6 linked regions of the Canis lupus familiaris genome follow. The protein of the gene in region 1 purifies or fractionates together with the protein of each later gene. This does not show direct contact. Links are inferred from orthologs where the notes say so. Each region holds a gene or a part of one and is shown in the gene's direction. Other genes may lie near its edges. The genes, in order: POP7, POP1, IBTK, RPP30, RPP38 and RPP40.

The links.
Region 2: the proteins of POP7 (region 1) and POP1 purify together in Homo sapiens (affinity purification with mass spectrometry; 3 studies listed by BioGRID and IntAct, with this or other methods). This does not show direct contact. The link is inferred for Canis lupus familiaris from reciprocal best matches to the Homo sapiens genes POP7 and POP1.
Region 3: the proteins of POP7 (region 1) and IBTK purify together in Homo sapiens (affinity purification with mass spectrometry; 3 studies listed by BioGRID and IntAct, with this or other methods). This does not show direct contact. The link is inferred for Canis lupus familiaris from reciprocal best matches to the Homo sapiens genes POP7 and IBTK.
Region 4: the proteins of POP7 (region 1) and RPP30 purify together in Homo sapiens (co-immunoprecipitation; 4 studies listed by BioGRID and IntAct, counting the BioPlex papers as one, with this or other methods). This does not show direct contact. The link is inferred for Canis lupus familiaris from reciprocal best matches to the Homo sapiens genes POP7 and RPP30.
Region 5: the proteins of POP7 (region 1) and RPP38 purify together in Homo sapiens (co-immunoprecipitation; 3 studies listed by BioGRID and IntAct, with this or other methods). This does not show direct contact. The link is inferred for Canis lupus familiaris from reciprocal best matches to the Homo sapiens genes POP7 and RPP38.
Region 6: the proteins of POP7 (region 1) and RPP40 purify together in Homo sapiens (co-immunoprecipitation; 4 studies listed by BioGRID and IntAct, with this or other methods). This does not show direct contact. The link is inferred for Canis lupus familiaris from reciprocal best matches to the Homo sapiens genes POP7 and RPP40.

Annotation. Positions count from the first base shown.
Region 1 is NC_049227.1:8,960,925-8,964,973, reverse strand, and holds the start of POP7 (ribonuclease P protein subunit p20), read left to right. Parts: upstream 1-1,249; 5' UTR 1,250-1,415; intron 1,416-2,514; exon of another isoform or gene 2,515-2,562; intron 2,563-2,953; exon of another isoform or gene 2,954-3,346; intron 3,347-4,049. UniProt on the Homo sapiens protein: Component of ribonuclease P, a ribonucleoprotein complex that generates mature tRNA molecules by cleaving their 5'-ends. Also a component of the MRP ribonuclease complex, which cleaves pre-rRNA sequences.
Region 2 is NC_049234.1:470,078-473,577, forward strand, and holds part of POP1 (ribonucleases P/MRP protein subunit POP1), read left to right. Parts: intron 1-969; 5' UTR 970-971; coding exon 972-1,113; intron 1,114-3,315; coding exon 3,316-3,483; intron 3,484-3,500. UniProt on the Homo sapiens protein: Component of ribonuclease P, a ribonucleoprotein complex that generates mature tRNA molecules by cleaving their 5'-ends. Also a component of the MRP ribonuclease complex, which cleaves pre-rRNA sequences.
Region 3 is NC_049233.1:42,951,455-42,954,954, reverse strand, and holds part of IBTK (inhibitor of Bruton tyrosine kinase), read left to right. Parts: intron 1-819; coding exon 820-937; intron 938-1,088; coding exon 1,089-1,269; intron 1,270-2,961; coding exon 2,962-3,085; intron 3,086-3,500. UniProt on the Homo sapiens protein: Acts as an inhibitor of BTK tyrosine kinase activity, thereby playing a role in B-cell development. Down-regulates BTK kinase activity, leading to interference with BTK-mediated calcium mobilization and NF-kappa-B-driven transcription.
Region 4 is NC_049249.1:5,743,745-5,746,276, forward strand, and holds the end of RPP30 (ribonuclease P protein subunit p30), read left to right. Parts: intron 1-118; coding exon 119-228; 3' UTR 229-2,032; downstream 2,033-2,532. UniProt on the Homo sapiens protein: Component of ribonuclease P, a ribonucleoprotein complex that generates mature tRNA molecules by cleaving their 5'-ends. Also a component of the MRP ribonuclease complex, which cleaves pre-rRNA sequences.
Region 5 is NC_049223.1:20,577,873-20,581,799, reverse strand, and holds the start of RPP38 (ribonuclease P protein subunit p38), read left to right. Parts: upstream 1-1,127; 5' UTR 1,128-1,264; intron 1,265-1,404; exon of another isoform or gene 1,405-1,683; intron 1,684-1,865; exon of another isoform or gene 1,866-1,869; 5' UTR 1,870-2,049; intron 2,050-2,091; exon of another isoform or gene 2,092-2,708; intron 2,709-3,927. UniProt on the Homo sapiens protein: Component of ribonuclease P, a ribonucleoprotein complex that generates mature tRNA molecules by cleaving their 5'-ends. Also a component of the MRP ribonuclease complex, which cleaves pre-rRNA sequences.
Region 6 is NC_049256.1:6,410,279-6,414,361, reverse strand, and holds the start of RPP40 (ribonuclease P protein subunit p40), read left to right. Parts: upstream 1-1,283; 5' UTR 1,284-1,344; coding exon 1,345-1,467; intron 1,468-1,553; exon of another isoform or gene 1,554-1,891; intron 1,892-1,956; exon of another isoform or gene 1,957-2,111; intron 2,112-3,473; coding exon 3,474-3,618; intron 3,619-4,083. UniProt on the Homo sapiens protein: Component of ribonuclease P, a ribonucleoprotein complex that generates mature tRNA molecules by cleaving their 5'-ends. Also a component of the MRP ribonuclease complex, which cleaves pre-rRNA sequences.

The DNA of each region.
Region 1 (4,049 bases):
ATCCGGCGGACAACTGACTTAGCATCTCCCAGGGCTGGGGCCCAATGAAAGACCAGACCGGGAAGCTTACTAGGAATTCTAACGACTGGGTAAGAAAGAGGGTCTCTTTCAAGTTAACTCGGGGGGAAGAAAAGAGGCAAAGTGTGAGGGACCGTAGCCAGGAGACTAAGCTGTTAGAAACGGACGGGCAACAGGGAGGAAGGAGACCCCAATGACCAAGCATTAATGTCGCCCGCTGAAAGGAAATTTAGGTGAAGACCCAGCGGAGGTGCTTCGGTTAAGAAAAGCTTCCACGTTGGCCAAAGTCATGGAACGCCTGGACTTTAAGACCCGCAGGGCCCAGCTAATTCCGGTCAAAGCCCGGAGGCTCGTTGGGGGAAGTCTCCGGGGAGCGCCGGGCACTAGGGTCGGGGGGCCGGGGCAGGCCTGGCGGAGGATGCGGGTGGACGGGAAGGGGCCGGGCAGGGCTGCCGAGGTGCCAGAGGACGACCGTTAGGAGCGCGGGGGTGGGAAGGAGGCGGGCCGCCCGGGAGGACGGCGTGCCCTTCAGGGAGGGGGCGCCAGGTGCGCGAGGCGAGGGGCGAGGGGCGAGGGCGTCCTCCCTCGGGGCCGCGCCGAGGAGGGGCCGGCGGGAGGGCGGACGCACCGGGCGGCGACGGCGGCAGCGGCCTGGGCAGAGAGGCGGGAGGGTCCGTGCTGGCGGCCCGCGCGCTCGCTCTGGCTCTCGCAGGCTCGGCGCGGCCGCCTCAGCGTCGGGGGCGGGCCTGCCCCGGGCCCGGCGGCGGGCCGGGGTCCGCGGGGCCGCCGAGCGCTTACCGCGGCGGGCGGGCGGCGCGAGGCTCCGGTCCCGGGGCGTTGGCGGCGCGCGGCGGGCCAGGGGGCGGCGGCGGCGGCGGCGGCGGCGGCGACGACGACGGCGGCGGCGGCGGCGGGGGAGGGGGCGCTGGCGCTCCCGCGGCGGCCGCTCCTCTCTGTTTGTGTTTGTAGCAAGATGGCTGCCCGCCTCGCACCACGTGACGCGGACGCGGGGCCGCGGGGCCGCCCCCTCCGCCGCCGCGGCCGCCTCTGCAGCCGCCGCCGCCGCTCCCTCCGTAGCCCCGGTCCCCGGCGACCCGCACGGCCTAGCGCCCGCCCCGCCTGCCCAGTGGGGAGCCCTGGCGCCCGCCGCCCCCGAAATTACCCCCCCGGCACGTGACCCGAGGCCTGGCTCGTCACGTGACGCAGGGCCTGCAGCGGGCCGGGGTGGGGGGTGGGGTCCCCGGGGCACTCCTCGGCTGCCCCCCGGCTGCTCCCGGCACGTGACGCGCGACCGTCGCGACGGAGGCCGCCGCAGGTGGCATCGCAGGGCTCGCCTCTCCAGTCGGTTTCCTCCAGGAAGCCCACCTGGATTGAAGGAGACAGCATACGATCCAGAGGTGTGTTAATTAGAAGTCCTGGGATATATAAAATAAGTGAGGAACTAATCATTTGGAAAGTGTCCGAAGCAGCACTGGCTGATGAGACCCAGAGTTTCCATCTGGCTCCGCCACTGACTACTAGCTTCTAGACCCCGGGGGCAAAGCAGTTGATGGGGCCTCAGTTTCACTTTTAGGTCAGGTGTTACGCTGTTCTCCGCCCCACCCCCGACCTCCACCCGACTCCATTCCCCTAGTGCTGGAAGAATTAAAATAGGTGAATGTGAAAGACGGTGAAGAGAGAAATTATTATGCAAATATGAGAAGTAGATTGACACCTCCTTTGTTTAAAAAAGGGGTTTTCAAGAAAGATTTTTCCAAGTCCCTGAACTTTTTAGGGTGAAAGGTTTTTTGTTTTGTTTTGTTTTTTATCCCCTGTGTATTTTCACCTTTTTGGCGGGGTAGGGGGTGCTGGTTATTCAGAATGTATACTGTACTTTCCGGCTTCCTAAAACGGCTGTTAGCAAACACAGTGTAATCCTCAGGACGGAGAAAGGTAAAGTGGGACTTAGAACTTGAGTGTCTTGTGTTGTGCCAGAATGGAGCGCAGACCTCAGGAGCTACCAGAAGGCCCTTTGTTCCCGCACCAGTGTTCCCCAGGCTTCTCTGTCCTAGCAGTTTTAGTATCTGTTTTGTTTTGTTTTGTTTTGTTTTTCCCCAGTTCCCTTCACTTTCATGCAGTCAGGATTTCTTAGTGCTGTTGGTCTCCCCCGCTTGCTGCGAGGCTGGAAAATAGCAATTGTTTAAAGCAAGGGCTCCCGTGCAGATTTCATTCATTACTGCCTGTGGCCTTGGAAATAATCTGTTCCCTCTCTGGATTGTCTGGTAAAGCATTTAACACACTGTTTGGCACAGGGCAAGTACTCCACAAATGTTAGCTGATGGGGGGGGGGGGGCTTCTGGTTTTACAGGAGAGAAGATATAAAGTTGTGAACACTGTATAAAAATGTATCGACAGAATCCAGGCTTGGGTGAGAATTCTTCACCTAAAGCTTATAAGCTTATGACAGTTTTTTTGTTACAAACTGTTGTTGCTTTTTTTTTTTTTTAACTTTTCTAGATTGTGTCCTGGGTGATGGAAGTTCCCAGCAGCCAAATCTCTGAATGAGTAAGGTCTTAGCATGTCTCGATTGTTAATTTAGCAAATATGAGATCGCACATTTTTGGTATAGGGGAAAGGGGGGGAGGGATGTCTGTGGAATGCCATCTGTAGGGAATGGTGGGGCCCTGTGCTAAGCTGGAAGGAAGACACTTGGGTAGGTTTAGGAAGAGTGGGGGTCAGCTATACAATAGTCACATTCCTGGCTAATGGGAAAAGAGCACCTGGATCCCTAGTTGGGTGAGAAGGGAAGCGAAACTTCAGCTGAGGGCTTTGAATGCCAACATGAAAATGTGTTTGATCTGAGAGTAGCACCCACTAGATGCTGCCTGGCAAGGAGCACGTGCTGGACTCCAGGGTACAGGGTTGGAGCGATCACCAAGGGTTCCTTGTGTTCCAGCTTGTGACCCTGGCCCAGTAATCTCCTCCAACTGTAGAGCTGGGGAAAATGTTGCTGCTGCTCCTGTTGCTGAAGACACTGTGGAATTTGAATCTGTGAAGTGTACCTCTTTGAGAAAGAATATTGAAATCAGAACCGTGCATCTCCCATATGGAATGAAAAAGAGAATTACGAAAAAAAGACTCAGACCTAAAATATTTTTGTTTATTCCGGTGCTATGCTATTAAATGTCTTGGTCTGTGTTTTAAATTGTTGGGCTTTTTGGGGCTGGATGGCTCAGTGGTTGAGCGTCTGCCTTTGGCTCAGGTCATGATCCTGGGGTTCTGGGATGAAGTCCCCCATCAGGCTCTCTGCAGGGAGCCTGCTTCTAACCTCTGCCTATGTCTCTTCCTCTTTCTGTGTCTCTTATGAATAAATAAATAAAATCTTAAAAAAAAAAAAAGGTGGTCTTTTGGGCACCTGGGTGGCTCAGTGGCTGTCTGCCTTTGACTTAGGTCATGATCCCAGGGTCATGAGATACAGTCCCACATCAGGTTCCCTGCAGGAAACCTGTTTCTCCCTCTGCCTAAGTCTGACTCTCCTTCTTTGTCTCTCATCAATAAATAAATAAATAATATCTTTTAAAAAATAAAAATAAATTGGCGGGTTTTTGAACTGAAGAGAAAGATTTGGTTAGGTGATTAATCAAGATGAAAGGGAGGTCTGAAGTCTAAACAGCCAAGCACTGCCTTTTTTCCTAATGGCAGATTCCTCTGTAGTGTTTGCCTAAAACAAAATGCAAAAAGATAAGTACCATCTTATTGTCAAATCAGTTTATTACAGTGCCTGGCTTCACTCACCTAAATCACAAACCGTTCTACATTATCTGGATGTCAACATTTAGAAAACATTTTTCAGATCTCATGAAAAGACACACTTCTTGAGTAATAGAGTGATAGTTCGTTTTTGGGTTTTTTTAAATAGTTCGTTTAACAATTCTTTTTTTAGGGACACCTGGGTGGCTCAGTGGTTGAGTTGTCTGCCTTTGGCTCAGATCATGAATCTGGGGTCCTGGGATCTAGTCCCACATCAGGCTCCCCTCAGGGAGCCTGCTTCT
Region 2 (3,500 bases), on another chromosome or scaffold:
ATTATAGTTAGGGTATATATATATATATGTGTGTGTGTGTAAAAGGCATATGTCCAGTAGGTTATGTAATTAATGAATTTCATTTCAAAAAAGAAAACAGGTGTTTCAAACCATTCTGGAAAAAAAAGAGGAGGGGAGCCTGGTTGGCTCAGTTGGTTGTGTCTGACTCTTGATTTCAGCTCAAGTTATGATCGTGGTCATGAGATTGAGTCCCAAGTCCGATTCCACAGTCTGGGGAGTAGGCTTAAGACTCTCTCTACCCCTCTCTCTGCCTGTTCCCTACTGCTCTTTTTCTCTCTCTTTTATAAAAAAATAAATCATTAAAAAAAAGGGGGGGAGATGTTGAGTTTGAAAGTTGAGAACTACTGAGTAAATCTGTCAAGTTCCCTCAGGGGTTTTGTCCTTTATCCTTATTCCTTATTTCAAATTGAAATTTTTTGCTGTTATAAATTAAAGGTACAGCTGGCCTCATTTTGGTGGCATCAGTAATTTATGTTCAGTTTTTGTAGAGGCTATATCAGAATAGTGTGTACTATATTTCATTGATTCACGTGGCTCTTGTTTCACCTAAGAATTTTTTTCTATGGCAGAGAGATCTTATACCTCATTTTTCATTCTTTCAATAGACTGTTCAGTGTCATCATTGGGATATGATTGAATTATCTGGCAGTGTAATCTAGAATATACTAATAATGGTCTCTTCCATTAATATAATTATTTTTTTTCCTATTGAATTGGGTTTTTGGTGCCAATACCATTCATGGCTCCCCTAGAAATACCCCTGGTGATAAATCTCTGTAGGTCAGTATTGTGATAACATTTTGATATCATCAATCCACCTATAATAAATGAAGATTGGTTATATTAAAGAATCAAATTTTGAGTTACGGGAATATTTATTTACTAAGTGTATTTTTATTTTGCATGGAAGTTCTCTTTGCTTGTACTAAATTTATTCTTCCTTTTCAGAAATGTCTAATGCAAAAGAAAGAAAACATGCTAAGAAAATGAGAAACCAGCCCACAAATGTTACTTTATCTTCTGGCTTTGTGGCCGATAGGGGCATAGAGTACCATAATGGAGGTGGGAGACCTTTCCAAGCTCAAAAACAAGGTAAGATACACAGGATATTCTTTCTATTCTATTTGGAGCAAAATGCTTTAGTCAGCTCTTTTTTTTTTTTCTTTTAAGATTGTTTATTTATTTATTTGAAAGAGACAGAAAAAGCACGAACGGGGGGAGGGGCAGAGGGAGAGAGAGAGGCCGAAGCAGGCTCCCCACTGAGCAGGGAGCCCTATATGGGGCTCAGTCCCAGGACCCTAGGATCATGACCTGACCTGAAGGTAGATGCTTAACTGACTGAGCCACCCAGACTCCCCATTGTTAGTTATTATTTAAATAGTAAATGACCTGCATTAAAAACAGATGCAGTTGACCTTCATTATTCACAAATTTTGTATTTGCAAATTCACCTAGTTGCTAAATTTATTTGTTACCCCCAAATTAATACTCATGGTACTTTGGTGGTCATTCATGGGCTTGCAAAAAGAGAGGGAAAAAATTGGAGTCACTGCACATGGACATTCTTAACTGAGGTTCCCAGCTGCCTCCTTGCTTCAGCTTGCTGCTATTTTTTTTTTTTTTAAAGATTTTATTTATTTATTCATGAGAGACACAGAGAAGGAGAGGCACAGACACAGGCAGAGGGAGAAGCAGGCTCCACACATGGGACTCAATCCCAGGTCTCCAGGATCATACCCTGGCTGAAGGCAGTGCTAAACCACTGAGCAACCTGGCTGCCCTTGCTTCAGCTTTCTTACAGAGTGACCAGAGGGTGGAGGTAGAGACTATAGTGGGGCAGTGCAGCAGAGCCCAGGAAGCTCCCTCTCCAGCTAGGGATTGAGTTCCAGTTGTGGGCAGCCGCAGGCAGATCACTTAACACTTCTGAATCCATTTTTTTCCTTTGTAAAAAAAGGAAACAGTGTACCAAGATGAGTTGTTTTTATGATTGAGATTGTTTTTATGATTTGAGATTGCAGTCAGTGTGATAGGGGGGTGTGTGTGTGTGTGTGTGTGTGTGTATTTTCTCTAGGAACAGTGGTTCAGTATTTGCTAACTCAGGGTTTGTCGTGACTTTACAGAGCATAACTACTGGGAATAAGTGGTGCAGCGGTTTGGCGCCTGCCTTCGACCCAGGGCGCGATCCTGGAGACCCGGGATCGAGTCCCACATCGGGCTCCCGGTGCATGGAGCCTGCTTCTCCCTCTGCCTGTGTCTCTGCCTCTCTCTCTGTGTGTCTATCATGAATAAATGAATAAAATCTTCAAAAAAAAAAAAAAAAGAATTGGCTGTACGTAGAGCAGATATATTATATCTCTATTAACATAGTTATTATTAAATTACATTCTTTATTTCCTAAAAGAAATACAATGTGTTTATTGTATCTCCCTTTTTTTTAAAAAAAAAAAGATTTTTTTTATCTATTCATGAGAGACACAGAGAGAGAGGCAGGGACATAGGCAGAGGGAGAAGCAGGCTCCTTGCTGGGAGGAGGTCCCAGGACTCCGGGATCACGACCTGAGCCAAAGGCAGATGCTCAACCACTGTGCCACCCAGGTGTCCCGGGAGTTTAGATTTAAAATCTAGGGGATCCGGGATCCCTGGGTGGCACAGCGGTTTGGCGCCTGCCTTTGGCCCAGGGCACGATCCTGGAGACCCGGGATCGAATCCCACGTCGGGCTCCTGGTGCATGGAGCCTGCTTCTCCCTCTGCCTGTCTCTGCCCCCCCCCCCCCCCCCCCCGTGTGACTATCATAAATTAAAAAAAAAAAAAAATCTAGGGGATCCTTGGGTGGCTCAGCGGTTTCGCACCTGCCTTTGGCCCAGGGCACGATCCTGGAGTCCCAGGATCAGGTCCCACGTCGGGCTCCCGGCATGGAGCCTGCTTCTCTCTCTGCCTCTCTCTCTCTATGTCTATCATAAATAAAAATAAATCTTTAAAAAGAAAAGATTTAAAATCTATTTTGTACTATTTGGACAAAAGAGCCCTTATATCAGTTATGTTCAGGGTTAGTTTATCATGCTGACAAGGTTAGCCAGTGTGCTGCCTGCTAACTATGTCACGTGGTAATTCACCTTCCTACCCGAATTGATTCCCTCCTATTTAAAGGGAAGGTAGTAATAGCCACCTTACGGGTGATTGTAGAATTAAAAACATGTTAGTGTTGCCCCTCAGCAAACGGTGTTTTCCACTGTAATCCATATCTTTGTTAGGCCTGACATATTTCTTTTCGTTTTCTTTTTGAAAATAAACTAGACCCTTTTCCTGGAACTTCACGACAGCGGCAAACCAAAATGACCTACCATTCCCCAGTTGATCCTGATGTGAATGAACAGACTTCCTCCAAAATAATGTTTAAAAAAAAGGGAGGATGGAAAGCAGGTCCCGAGGGCACGTCTCAGGAGATTCCCAAGTATATCACTGGTAGGTGTTTGGGAAGA
Region 3 (3,500 bases), on another chromosome or scaffold:
CAAGGATCTTTGTGGTTTCAGGTCTCACATTTAGGTCTTTAATACATTTTGAGTTTATTTTTGTATATGGTGAGAGAAAGTGGTCCAGTTTCATTCTTTGCGTGTTTCTCTCCAGTTTTCTCGATAAGATTTGTACGAAAAAGACAAAACAATTGTCTTTTTCCCCATTGTAAACATTCATTCTTCCTTTGTTGAGGATTAATTGGCCACATAATTGTGGGTTTATTTCTGAATTTTCTGTTCTTTTCCATCGATGTATGTGTCTCTTTTTATGCTAATATCATGCTGTTATAGTTACTGTTGTTTTGTAATATAACTTGAAATCTGGAATTGTGATACCTCCAGTTTTGGTTTTCTTTTTTGAGATTGCTTTGGCTATTCCTGGGATGCAAGTGTGATTCAGTATTCATACAAGAATCATTGTGATAATACATCACATTAGTAAGAGTCATCTGGCTGTAAAATCAATAGTGCCACTGTTGAATATGTCACATTTAAAAGTGTTGAATTTTCTGATAGAATGAGAATCCCTGTTTTGCATGTTGCTTGTTGAAAAGTTGAATGATTTGGTTTTTATACTGTTAATTTTTTATATATTAAAACTGCTGACTTAAAGTTGCTGCATCAAAATATCTTGTGTTCTGAGAAGGGTTGGAGTCTCAGTGCTGACATCTTCAGTGAATTCTGGCATTAGAACTTGAGGGGGCACTGGTAGTGGGTATGTCATATATTTGCTACTCTGGTCTACTGGATCTTTAAAAAATTATTCTAGTACTTGGTAATATAATAAACTGCTGTCTTACTTATCTTTTTGAATAGATGCAGGCAAAATATCTGAAAGGAAGGACAATCATTGGAGTAGCGGCAGGCAGGTTTCATACAGTGCTGTGGACTAGAGAAGCTGTTTACACTATGGGACTAAATGGTGGACAACTGGGTAAGAAATCTTGATGACAATATCTGAAAAGTAAATTGAATTTTTTTTTATTTTATTTTTATTTTATTTTTTTTTGAATTTTTAAAACAATAAAAAATTTAAAAATTTTTTAAAAATAAATTGTTTTTTATTTATTTGTCTGATTTTTTAGGTTATTTGCCAGATCCCAATGGAGAAAAGTATGTAACTGCTCCTCGTCAAGTCTCTGCCCTTCATCATAAGGATATCACTTTGTCTTTAGTTGCTGCAAGTGATGGGGCCACAGTCTGTGTTACCACAAGGGGAGATATTTACTTACTTGCAGACTATCAGTGCAAGAAGATGGCTTCTAAGTATGTTATGTGTATTTTTGTAAAGAAATATAATTTTAATAATAATAATTCTTCCAGCAAGACTTAGAATATAAGCTTTATGTGCTATGTTCTAGAGTGTCAGATGAAGAAAACTGAATGGAGAAAATTTAAAACTGAAAGGGAAAATCAAGAGTTTTTACCTTTGAGCTTAGTCTTTGAGAAGCATCCAGGGAGCATATGTAGAAGTTCTCTGTAAATTGTTAAACAGTATTTCAGAACTATATTTAACATATGGTTAAATGTGACCTATAAATTTCTTTTTTTTTTTATGCTTCAGGTACATAGTACTAGATTAATTATAATTCTTGGTTTGTGACACAATCATCATTGGTTCATGTGTGGCTTTCTTATGTTATGCATTTATTTATTTTTTAAAAATAGCTAATTATTTATCATGGATTCTCAGTCCATGTGTTTATAATTAACTGGTATATTTTTTATCTTTATATTTGTGTAGCCTTTTGTTACCTGAGAGTAGGATATAGTATGATATATCCTATAGTAGGATATAGTAGCATGCAGTAAAAACTAGCAGTTGGTTAGCTCATCAAAAAAGCCAGGTAAAGCAGGGAATCATAAAACTAAGGTGTAAGCATGGATGTGTCCGCCAATTGGAGTTCCTTAGCTTTTGAGCATAAACCTACCCATAATGTATCATCTGTGATTTCATTTTGAACACTTAAGGAGGAAGCTCTTAAAAACAATTGTGAGGTAAATTAATATGGTTAGAGTCCTTTACTTTTCATATATTTCAATCTTTTATAGTTGATTAATCCATTTCTGATTTGACAGCAGTATTTTGCTATGCATTTTAATGTGTCATTCCAAAGTATTCAACTTTTTTTTTTTTCAAGATTTTATTTATTTATTCATGAGAGACACAGAGAGACAGGCAGAGAGAGAAGCAGGCTCCATGCAGTGAGCCCAATGTGGGACTCGATCCTGGGACTCCAGGATCACGCCCTGAGCCGAAGGCAGAAGCTCAACCTCTGAGCCACCCAGGCGTCCCCAAAATTAAATTAGTGATGATTTTCCTGGTAGCTATTAGCTATTTAGGGTTGTTCATATTTGAAATTAAAGATTTGTTTCATTTTGAGGTTTTAAGTTTTTCTGGTCTGTTAGGAGCTTTTAGTCTTATCAGTTAATTAAAGTAGAGTGAAGGGATCCCTGGGTGGCACAGCAGTTTAGTGCCTGCCTTTGGCCCAGGGCACGATCCTGGAGACCCGGGATCGAACCCCACGTCAGGCTCCCGGTGCATGGAGCCTGCTTCTCCCTCTGCCTGTGTCTCTGCTCTTTCTCTCTGTGTGTGTGACTATCATAAATTAAAAAAAAAAAAAAAAAAAAAAAGTAGAGTGAATGTGTGCATTCACAAGTGGGACTTTAGATTTCAGAGGTGTGTGTGTGTGTGTGTAGGTACAGGCATTTGGGAGGGAAGGACTTGCTATAAAAAGAAACTGCCATAATGTAGGGGAAACTTAAAGAGAAAGGAGGGACTAAGGATACCAAAGGCCAAATTGTCTTACTTCACGTGTCACAATAATCACTGTAGATTATTGTTTGAATAGTAATTTCTTAAAAATTGAGCCATGTATATTTTAGAGAACATATTTTTTTTTAATTTTTTTTTTTTTTTAGAGAACATATTAATGGAGAGTTTTCTTTTTCACCTAGACAACTAAACTTGAAAAAAGTTCTTGTTTCTGGGGGACGTATGGAATACAAGGTTGATCCTGAAAATTTGAAGGAAAATGGGGGTCAAAAAATTTGCATTCTTGCCATGGATGGAGCTGGAAGGGTAAGTGTATATTTATGCAAAAGTGTAGTAAAGAAATTTTGTTCTCAATTGATAGCTGTAAGGGACCTGATAATGTGAACATGTATTATTATGATGATGATGATTCCCATTGACTTTTTTCTCTACTTACTTTTGACATCAGTAGTAATTAGTATGGAGCTGATATTTCAAAGAAAGTTTGATGACAATTAATGTTGCACAGTACAGCTTTGTTAAACTGTAGCTTAAAATTTCATTTACTGTGCTTAAAATGGAAATAAGGAATTTTGATGGATTATTTGATATGTAAACTGAGTATGGATGAAGATATCAAATCGCATAGATATATTTTATATAACAGCTCCTTAAAAAAAGTAAAAGCTGAACAGGCAAAATTAAAAATTTTGTAATTAGTAAATTTCCCCCAGATTTAGTT
Region 4 (2,532 bases), on another chromosome or scaffold:
CTGGTTTTATCATTTACTAATGTTATAAGTCAAAGTAACATGGTGATACATGTTAAACCACCACTTTTTAAATCATGTCTTAACTTCAAGCCCTATGGTTTCCCTGTCTGTTTTACAGAAACGAGAAAAACTGCTTTTGGAATTATTTCCACAGTGAAGAAACCTCGGCCATCAGAAGCAGATGAGGATTCTCTTCCAGCTTGCAAGAAAGCCAAGTGTGAGGGCTGAAAAGAATCCCCGGTCTCTGTCAACACTCCCTTCTTCCCTTTGATAATCCATCAGTCACAACAGAAACAAAACCTTTATGACTTACTATTTTCATTCAGAGCTAGAACTCAGCAGTCTATAAAAACAATTTTATATTCAAGCCATTAAAATAACAAAACCTAGTGAAGCAGTAAAAAAGACGACTGCCCACTTAATTAATTTAGATATATTTTGAGAGAAAGAGACAAGTTTATTTATTTTTTGTGTTAAGTGATAAAACGGCAGATATAACTGAATAAGATATTTCAGGAGGAGACTCCTTAAAAATGTTTCTTCTTGGGCAGCCTTGGTGGCTCAGCAGTTTAGCGCCGCCTTCAGCCCAGAGTGTGATCCTGGAGACCTGGGATCGAGTCCCATATTGGGCTCCCTGCTCAGTGAGGTCTGCTTCTCCCTCTGCCTGTGTCTCTGCCTCTCTCTCTCTCTCTCTCTGTCTCTCATAAATAAAATAAAATCTTAAAAAAAAAAAAAGTGAATGCATCTGCATTTAAAAAAAAAGTTCTTCATTTAAAAATACATGCTTTGCTGCTTCACTTCATATACATGGCTTATTATTTTTTTAATCTTACCATTCAAAAAGGGGTTATTTTGAGGCCTATGAAGACTTACTAAGGGGTTGGCTTTTAGTTGACTTATTTCTATTGTAAGCCTGTCCTTGTATTCATCAAGTCAGAGTTCTTTCTGAAAACAATTGCTATAAAATTTTTGGAAGGAGAGAGAAAAGTATATGTAAAATTACACATGGCCTCTTCCTCTCTGCTGGTTTTACCTCCATGATGTTCTTGAAATAGAATTCCCTCCTTTGATTGGAAGTCTCTAAAAACCTAATATTGATTTTCCTCATAGTAGTACTAAAAATATCAAACCATTGTACTCAACCAACTCTGAAAAAAAAATTTTTTATGTAGCATAATCATTCAGTTAAATGGAAGTAGCCTTTTTTGCAAGTGTCTGTATTCATGTTATATTGATATAAAAAAAATAACTTCAGTGAGAAAAGCAACAGTATTCTGAGAAAAAAGATAATTTTTAAAAAAGCTTTATATCAGTCTCACTTATGAATATAGATTCTTAAATAAAATATTGGTAAAGAGAGGCCATTAAAATAATATACCATGACAAGTGAGATTTATTCTAGGAATATAAGGATATTTCAGTTCTTTTTAATGTACTGTATTTCATCATATTTATTAATCAGATGAGAAAAATCAGAATCCTTTTAACCGGTGCAAGTAGGACATTTGATAAAACTTAAAATCCACTCCTGCCATAAAACCAAGTAGTAGAATATTTCACACACACATATGTATGTCTGTATATATTTGTATATTGTATGTAGTAAGCATGATGTCTCTAAGAGCATTTTTGTGTGCCTTCCACTTGAGCAATTTGATGGATTAGTCAACTCCATTCCCTCCGTAAAACTGATGTGGCCACCGCTGAGCCCACACGCTGCAGTCCACCACTTCCTCCAGGACTAGCTTACTTTTGCCCCCACCCCACTTGAACTCACCAAAAGTGAATGTGCTTTATTCTCAAGTCTGTTTATACTACTGTGGTTAGCATTGTAAAGTTATATACATCAACTAAAAATTACAAAAACTGTTGCACTATGAAGGACGAAAAAAGAATTCCCAGGAATTTCAAGCTTTTGAAAGACTTAAAAAAGATGAGCCATTAAAAAAATCTGCCAAAATAGGTGTGAACAGGACAACTAAGATTTGGGGTTTGGGGAGTGCAGTAAAAATTCCACACTTGGATTGTTTCACTCAAGTCTTCAGTTCTCTTTCTTCTTTAAAGATACTGGAACTCAAAAAAAAAAAGATATTGGAACTCAAGAAAGGCAGCTGATGGATGCCCTATCAGGGGGTCGACACTCCCCAGAGCAGATGCTGATCTCTACAGTTCGGCACATGAGTGTGCATTTATATATTTTGAACTCAAAATGTTTAAGGGATCGTATGTTCAACTTTTTTCTGATGTCCCACCTTCGTCTACTGTTTCAACCAACTGGTTTATATGTGTCTATTTGCCCCAGTTGTATTGCAGATAGAGTATTGAAGACCTCCAGTTAGGAAGAAGGTAGAGTTATTGCAGGTGTGACTGTTGTCTTCAAAAAAGAAGCAACTGGGAAAAGATTAGAACTAGAGTTGCTCCTTCATTTATGCACATCTGTTACATATTTGCAGTTGTGCCTGCTTTCTGTTTATGGACAGGTACTTATCCTGCTATTCAGAATAGATAGGCATGATGGCAGGTCCTCAGTGA
Region 5 (3,927 bases), on another chromosome or scaffold:
CGTGCTCTCCCTATCTCTCAAATAAATAAATATATTTTTTAGAAATCACATGGGTAACCTGCAACAATCTCGGAACCAAAAGGAACACGGGCTTTTTGTTTTGCTTACTTTACGGCCAGTTAGGTGCTACGTCGGTGCTAAAAACCCAGAATGTTAGGAAACAGATTAAGAAATGTAAATTCAAGGGCAGCCCTGGGTGGCTCAGCGGTTTAGGCGCCTGCCTTCAGCTCAGGGCGCGATCCTGGAGACCCGGGATCGGATCCCACGTCGGGCTCCCTGCATGGAGCCTGCTTCTCCCTCTGCCTATGTCTCTGCCTCTCTGTGTGTGTGTCTCATGAATAAATAAATAAAAATAATTTAAAAAAAGAAATGGAAAATCAAAACGAGCCTAGAAGAGGTTGAGAAAGGACAAGTTTTGAGAAAGACAGGGAGAGGAAAAGTAAGTGGGGGTGGGGGTGGGGAGCTAAGTTAGGCTGGAAAGGGAAAGGAAGGGGGTGGCGAGGGAGGGAGGAGGCTCTTCAGGTCAGAAGCAACCTACTTTCTTCCAAGCGCCCTCCCGGCCCCGGGTGGATCGACACGCTCCGATGCCTGACCTTGCAAACGTCCTCCAGCCGTTTCGCAGTCGTCCAGGACCTCCCAGCGACCCCGTTCCTACCGTCAGTTTTCACTGGCCGGAGCAGCTACAGCAGATACTTGGGGGAGTTTTCGGAGCTGCTGTCGCACACTCCAAAGCAGCCTTCCCGTGCCTGTTTCGGGAGGGGCGGGGGTGGGGGGCAAGATCGCCTGCACGGTTGCCTGTAAGCGCGTTTTTATCCCAGACCACCCCTCATCCCCGCTGCATCTTGACCTCCCCGGTGCCGGGGAGTCGACGGAGGCCGGGGGACGCTGGGGCACGGCCTGGGGCTTTGCGTTCCCCTCGGGCAAGCCAAATACCGAAAAGCGAGAAGAGGGCGAGCGAGCCAAGGCTCCCGGGAGCAGAGAGGTAGAGACTGGATTAGAAGCGAGAGGGCGGCAGATGTGACAAACAGCTTCGGGGGACGACCGACGAGCCCTCACACCAGCCACCGAGACCGAGAGCGACGCGTTACCACGACAACCGTGAAGTCTCGCGAGGCTCGCAGTGAGGTCTCCCTGCGCCTGCGCGCTGCCGCGGTGGGGCGCAGCCCTGAGCCTCCCGGCCCGCGATCCCGGACTCCGGGCTTTTGTGGCTCGGGCCTTGGACGCTGTGGGCCGACTCTCCCCACCGTGAGTGACAAGGGGGACGGTGAGATGCGAAGCGGTCTGAGCATGGGGGGCGGGGCCGGAGAGGCGGGGGCTCTGCGCACGCGCGGCGCACGTGCAGACGGCGGGGGTGCGGTCGTGAGTGGGAGCGGGGCGCGGGGCGCGGGGGCGGGAGGGGCGCGCCCCGGGTGGGGTCCGGCTCGGGACGCGGGCGCCGGGGGGACACGCGAGGTCCCCAGGTCTTCTCCGGGAGACCTGTCCGTCCGGCCAGGCAGCCCCAGCGCGACGGGGGCTACGTTCCGCCTCCGGGCCTGGGTTTCCTCTCCTGTCTCTGCCTGGGGTTGAGCATCTTAGGGCGCGGGAACCGGCGAGATAAAGCCCCCCTCGCCCCCCGGCCCCTCAGTGCCCCAGGCCTACAAGTGCGGGCGGATCCCTGTAGGACTGCGGTGTGCGGGCGAAATGGTGAAGGATGCGGCGGTACAGGCGGGCGGCAGGCCCGGGGAGGGAGGAGCTCGGGGGCAGGAACGCAGCCTGCGGGCCCTGGGGCTGCCGCCCAACCCCCTCCGGAAGGCTTTTCTTTTTTCTTTCTTTTCTTTTCTTTTTTTCTTTTCTTCTTTCTTATTTTGTTTATTTATTCATGACAGAGAGAGAGAGAGAGAGAGAGGCAGAGACACAGGCAGAGGGAGAAGCAGGCTCCACGCAGGGAGCCCGACGTGGGACTCGATCCCGGGACCCCAGGATCACGCGGTGCTAAACCGCTGAGCCACCCGGGGATCCCCTGGAAGGCATCTCTGAGTCCTTTACTTCCTATTGATAGCTCCAAGCCGGGTAGGTTCCACCAGTTAACTCTTCCAACTGCATGTAATTTTGTCCCGTTGTTCCCTCTGCGGTCACTCTGGTGCAGGCCACCATCGAGCCTACCCTGGGAACCTCTTTGCTCCTCCTTCCACTTCTGGCAAAGGAGTGGCCCCGGGCTTCCGCAAGGATGGTTTTGCAGGGCCTTTCAAATCACGCTCGCTCTTGTGTCTCAAACGTTGCAGTTGCTTTCCATTATTATGCGGTTTGCGGGACCTTCACCCTCTGGTCCTCGCCTCCCTTTCCTGATACCTCAGCATCTCTAGCATCTCTTCCCCAGCGGCGTGAACTTCCTTCATTTCGTTAATGTTGTTGCCTGGGGTACTCTTTCTGCTTCATGCCCCCTTTGGCTGGCACTCTTCAGATGCAGGGTTGAAAGGTCACTTTCTCCAGGACATCTTTTCTCTCCCCTTCAGCTAATTCATGCTTCTGCTGTTTCCTTAGTATCCTTAGAATTCCCAGACTTGAATGTGCACATCTTCTTGTACTATTACCTGCTCATTTGTTGTTTTCATGGATTCTAAGTTCTGTTGAGGCCAGTAACTGTTTTTACGCTAATACTTTATGGTTTGGTACATTGTGGATAATCCAGAAATACTTGCTGAAGAAGAAAGGTGGTTGTGGGGCCGAAGGTGGGAACAGTATTCCAGGCAGAGGGAATAATATGTACGAAGATGGAGGGGGGGCGCAGCCCTGGTGGCTCAGTGGTTTAGCGCCTGCCTTTAGCCCAGGGCGTGATCCTGGAGACCTGGGATCAAGCCCCATGTCGGGCTCCCTGCATGGAGCCTGCTTCTCCCTCTGCCCATGTCTCTGCCTCTCTCTCTCCCATCTCTCATGAACAAATAAATAAAAATTAAAAAGATGGGGAGGGTAGAAATTGGTGGCCTCAATAAGCAGTAAGTGGGTGTAATGGTGGAAGAGGCTGGTGGGAGGTGAGAGTCAGTGTGTGTGGGGTTTGTAGGTCACTGTAAAGGGTTTGCACTTGATCCCATAGGTGGTGAGTGCCTCCAAGACATAGCCCAAAAGGCACCTCAGCAAGGCCTTCATGTTTTTCTGCTCTAAAACCATCCCTTCTCATCAATCAGTATTTTGCTCTTGGATTATCTGGTGGAAGGTTCTGTTCTATCTGAACTACTTGGCTCTCGTCTCTCCCGCTAGATTCTGAGAACAGGAGTTCATGCCTCACTTGCTGTCTCTCCAGAGCACACAAGTATAAGTATTACTTAAGGATTTCAGCATCATGCTGCTTGGATGCTGAGGCACATGAGCTGACTTGCAGTTTGGCAAGAGCTCTGTTCAGTCATATTTGTCTTGCTCGTCTTCCTGACCTTCAACCTGATGCCAGCCTCTACCAATCCTGACTGGATTTAGCTGGTCTGCTTCCTGACTCCCTCTGTGCTTGGGGGGAACATGGAGAAAATGAGGGGGGAGGTGTCAGTGAGGATGGCTGTGCAGAGGGGCTGGTATGAAGGAAGCAGCTTGCACAGCAGGTACTGAGGCTCTGGCATCAAGGTCCTGAACAAGGTCCGACACTCCCTGGAGGAGCTGAAGTTTGGATTTCTGTTACAAGAGGACTTAGGAGGAGCAGTGGAGACCAGTGGCAGTCAGGAGGCCATTTTTCATTTCTCAGGAGGCCTGTCCGGTGTCAAGGGCCAGCCTGTCCTATCCCAGCTATTCTAACCCTGTTCTGGATCAGAGTCATCTGGGCAGCTTTGACAAATACAGGTACCCTGGTCCTATTCCCAGGGATTCCAGTTCAGTACGTCCAGGATAAGGACCAACCACCTGTATGTTTTTAAAAGGCAACAGGTTACTTTTGAGGTGCAGCCAGGATGGAAAGAGCATAAACTT
Region 6 (4,083 bases), on another chromosome or scaffold:
TAAACATCTGATCTCCTAAAAGGACAGTGGTAACATATCGAGGTGCCATACCAGGACTTAGAAAATTGGTAGAATTTTTCAATTCACCTGCTATTCCCTATAATTCTTCCTGTTTAAAATAAGGGGAAGGGCACCTGGGTGGCTCAGCGGCTGAGCATCTGTCTTTGGCTCAGGGCGTGACCCCGGGGGTCCTGGGATGGGTCCCACGTCGGGCCCCTCTGCCTGTGTCTCTGCCTCTCTCTGTGTGTCTCTCATGAATACATAAATAAAATCTTTAAAAGTAAATACGGGGAAATGTGTTTTTCATGGTTTTCTCAGATAGTCTGACACTTCAGGCACAGGTCACTGACATTAATGGGCAGATGGACTTTCCAGCCTTGTCTCAGTTTAAAATTTTTAAATACTTACCTTGTAAATTGCTGAACTTCAGCTGTTGCAAATCTCATAGTAAAACTGAAGCTCCAGAAAGTCCTATCAGCCTGCTGTTCCGCATCCTCTCTGCACAGAACTGGGCCTGGGCACATGCTTTGGGAAGAAGCCTGCACCAATGCGGTACCTGATTGGAAAAGTCATGGAAAAATGAATTTTGCACCAATGCGGTACCCGATTGGAAAAGTCATGGAAAAATGAATTTTGCACCAATGCGGTACCCGATTGGAAAAGTCATGGAAAAATGAATTTTGCACCAATGCGGTACCTGATTGGAAAAGTCATGGAAAAATGAATTTTCTCCGCAACCCCCAACAGCAACACATTTTTAAAAGCCGTTCAGATGGGATTTTTAAAGAAGGGATCTTAAAGTGGCGCCGAAGGAGTCGTACTGTAGGGCAGGAAAAGGAAACCGTGAGGTCTCCTCCTGCGCAGAGTTCCTTAACTTTTGGGGAAGAACCAGGGGGAGGAGGATGCTCGGCCAGAGACAGACGCGAGGGAGGAGGGGGGCACGGGGAGAAAGACGGGTTTGAGAAGGCAAGTTCCGGCTTTCCACGCGCCAGGTGTTTCCATTTTAGGTGATGAATCTGCGGCTGCAGGCACCGGCGGGCGAGCTTCTGCTGAGGTTCCTGCACCCAGGCCCGGCCTCAGCTCCAGCGCATCACCGAGCACAGGCCGCCCCAGCCCGCTCGGCGCCGCCGAACTGCGCATGCCCAAGGGGCGGGGCGGGGCGGGGCGGGGCGACGAGAAGGGGGCGGAGTGACGAGGAGGGGGCGGGGCGACAGGAAGGGCGGGGCGGAGTGACGAGAAAGGGCGGGGCGCTGAGGAGGGGCGGGGCCAAGTGACGAGGAAGGGCGGGGCGCCGAGGAGGGGCGGGGCGCGCCGAGCCCGCCCAGCGCCGGAGCCGCGGAGAGCATGGCCACCCTACGCCGGCTGCGAGAGGTTCCTCGGCACTTGCTGGTCTGCGAGAAATCCAACTTCGGCCACGACAAGTCGCGCCACCGGCATCTGGTGGAAACGCACTATCACAACTACCGGGTGAGTCCGGCCGCCGCGGGCTCTCGGGCATCGCTTCATCCCCGGAAGCTGGAGGGGTCTGGGGAAAGTCGCGTTCAGCTCGGAGCGGCGGGCCCGCCCTTAACGCGTAGAGGGGGCGGGGCTCGTCGCCAGGCATGTTGGGAATTGTAGTCTCTCCTGTGCTCCAGAGTGGCCGCTCGCGGAGCTGCAGGAATACAAGTTCCAGGATGCGCTGGGCGCGGGGGCCGTGCCCTCTCCTGTCGGGGGCGGCGGCGCGTCCCGGGCGGTTTGCAGAGCTCGCTGGCTGCTCGGTCCCGCGGCTGGTGCTTTCCCAGGAGGGACGTGGGCGCGACGCGGAGCCCCCCGAGCGGTTCTTGCTGCTGCCTGGTGGGAGCCGGTGGCCGAGCCAGAGCCTTGCGGGGGAGCCAGCTTGTCTCCGAGAGAGGTTCGCCCTGCGCGGTCCCCGGGCGCGGGCTGGGCGGCCCTGCTCCAGGCACCGCCCGGGAGCCTCCCGGGGTGACGCCGCCGGTCGCTCCGTGCGAGTTCCTCCTCCTCCTCGTGGGGGCCTCGGCGTCCGCGGGGGCATCGGTGAGGCTGATCCTCCCGCGTCCCGCAGGACTGGACGGGGACCAGCGGCGGGCCAGGGCCCCTCCTCACCGGCCCACGTAAGCGGCGAGGCTCCAGAAACAACCCGAGCAATGCTTTAAGCCCTTTCCGTTTTATTTTATTTTTAAAGGTTTTATTTATTTATGCATGAGAAACAGAGAGAGAGAAGCAGGCTCCATGCGGGGAGCCCGACGTGGGACTCGAACCTGGGTCTCCAGGGTCACGGCCTGGGCTGCAGGAGGCGCTAACCGCTGAGCCACCCGACTGCCCGCGAACTGCTCTTTAAAAGTTTTTTTTTAAACATTTTATTTATTTATTCATGATAGTCACACACACACACACACACACACAGGCAGAGAGACCCAGGCAGAGGGAGAAGCAGGCTCCATGCAGGGAGCGCGACGTGGGACTCGATCCCGGGGCTCCAGGATCAGGCCCTGGGCTGCAGGAGGTTCGCTGAGCAACCCGACTGCCCGCGAACTGCTCTTTAAAAGTTTTTTTTTAAACATTTTATTTATTTATTCATGAGAACACAGAGAGAGAGAGAAGGGCAGAGACACAGGCAGAGGGAGAAGCAGGCTCCATGCAGGGAGCCCGACGTGAGACTGGATCCTGGGTCTCCAGGGTCACGCCCTGGGCTGGAGGCGGTGCTAACCGCTGAGCCACCCGGCCTGCCCTGCCTTTAACATTTTGAATTCATGAGCCTCCTGTCCACCGAGGCCTGACCTGCTGTTTCCCAGAGACCCAGGTGGTGACCCCGTGTCTCAGGAATCGACTGATGTTTGAGGGGAGGGCTTTGCAAGGTCTGGAGCACCGGGCAGCACTTGAAACCGTTTCGGGCAACACTTGAAACAGTTTCGGTGCAGCTCCTCTGCGGGGGAGGGAGAGCGGGTCTCTGGCCGTACCTTGCCCGGGTACCTTGCCCCGCCCCCGCACACCTGCCTAGAAAGCGGAAACAGCCAGAAGCACTTCTGCTTCCCAGGAGCCTCTTACTGATGGATGTCTTTAATTTCCTTCTGTCCTAAGGGACCGTCCTCTTGATTCCAGCCTGGTACCAGGATAAAAAAAAAAAAAAAACCCAGGGTTATTCCATTGTACCGTATTTCCCTAAAAATTAATTAGAGCAGTGGGCAGGATATAAAACATAGTGCTTATTTGCAAAAGATGAAATGCAAACAAGAGCTTTCCGTTAATAACAGTTTTTTTTTTTTTTGCTTGTTCGCTTTCCTATAATGTTTGAATACAGAAAATGAAAAACGTGAATTGTCAGATTTCTCTTCTCCTAAGATGGGTAAATTAACTTTAGGGTTTTATAGAAACCTGTGGGGGGACTAGTTAGCAGCCTTCATATGTTATAGCATCCTTAAAAAGCTGGAGGTTGATCTCCTTGAAAATAAGACTTACGTGACACATTCCAATAGGTCTCGTTTCTGATTCCTGAGTGTGGGATACTATCGAAAGAACTGAAGAACCTCGTCATGGAAACTGGACCCTATTACTTCGTGAAGAACTTACCTCTTCATGAGTTGATTACACAGGAATTCATCAACACCTTTGTGAAGAAAGGTAAGAAGAACCTTGTCGTGAACGTGGCAAGACGAGGAAGTACAGTTAGATTACATCGCAGTACTAGGGTTCTTCTCTTGTCCTAACCAGGGCCTTTGGAGATAGTCTGTGTGGCCATGTGCATGCATCACTCCCCCTCCCTCAGCATCCTCACCCTGCTGCTTCTTATGGTCCCTTTAGATGGTGGTTTCTGACAACACTTGTCCACGTGTGGCGTGGGGATGTAACATAACAAGGATTCAGGGAGAGGAGAGAGTCTTGGGATCTGTGTTTTCTTTTTTTTCTTTTTTTTTTTTTTATTTTATTTATTCATGAGAGATACACAGAGAGAGAGAGGCAGAGACACAGGCAGAGGGAGAAGCAGGCTCCACGCAGGGACCTGATGCTGGGCCTCGATCCCGGAACCCTGGGATCAGATCCTAGCCGAAGGCAGATGCTCAACCACTGAGCCACCCAGGTGCCCTG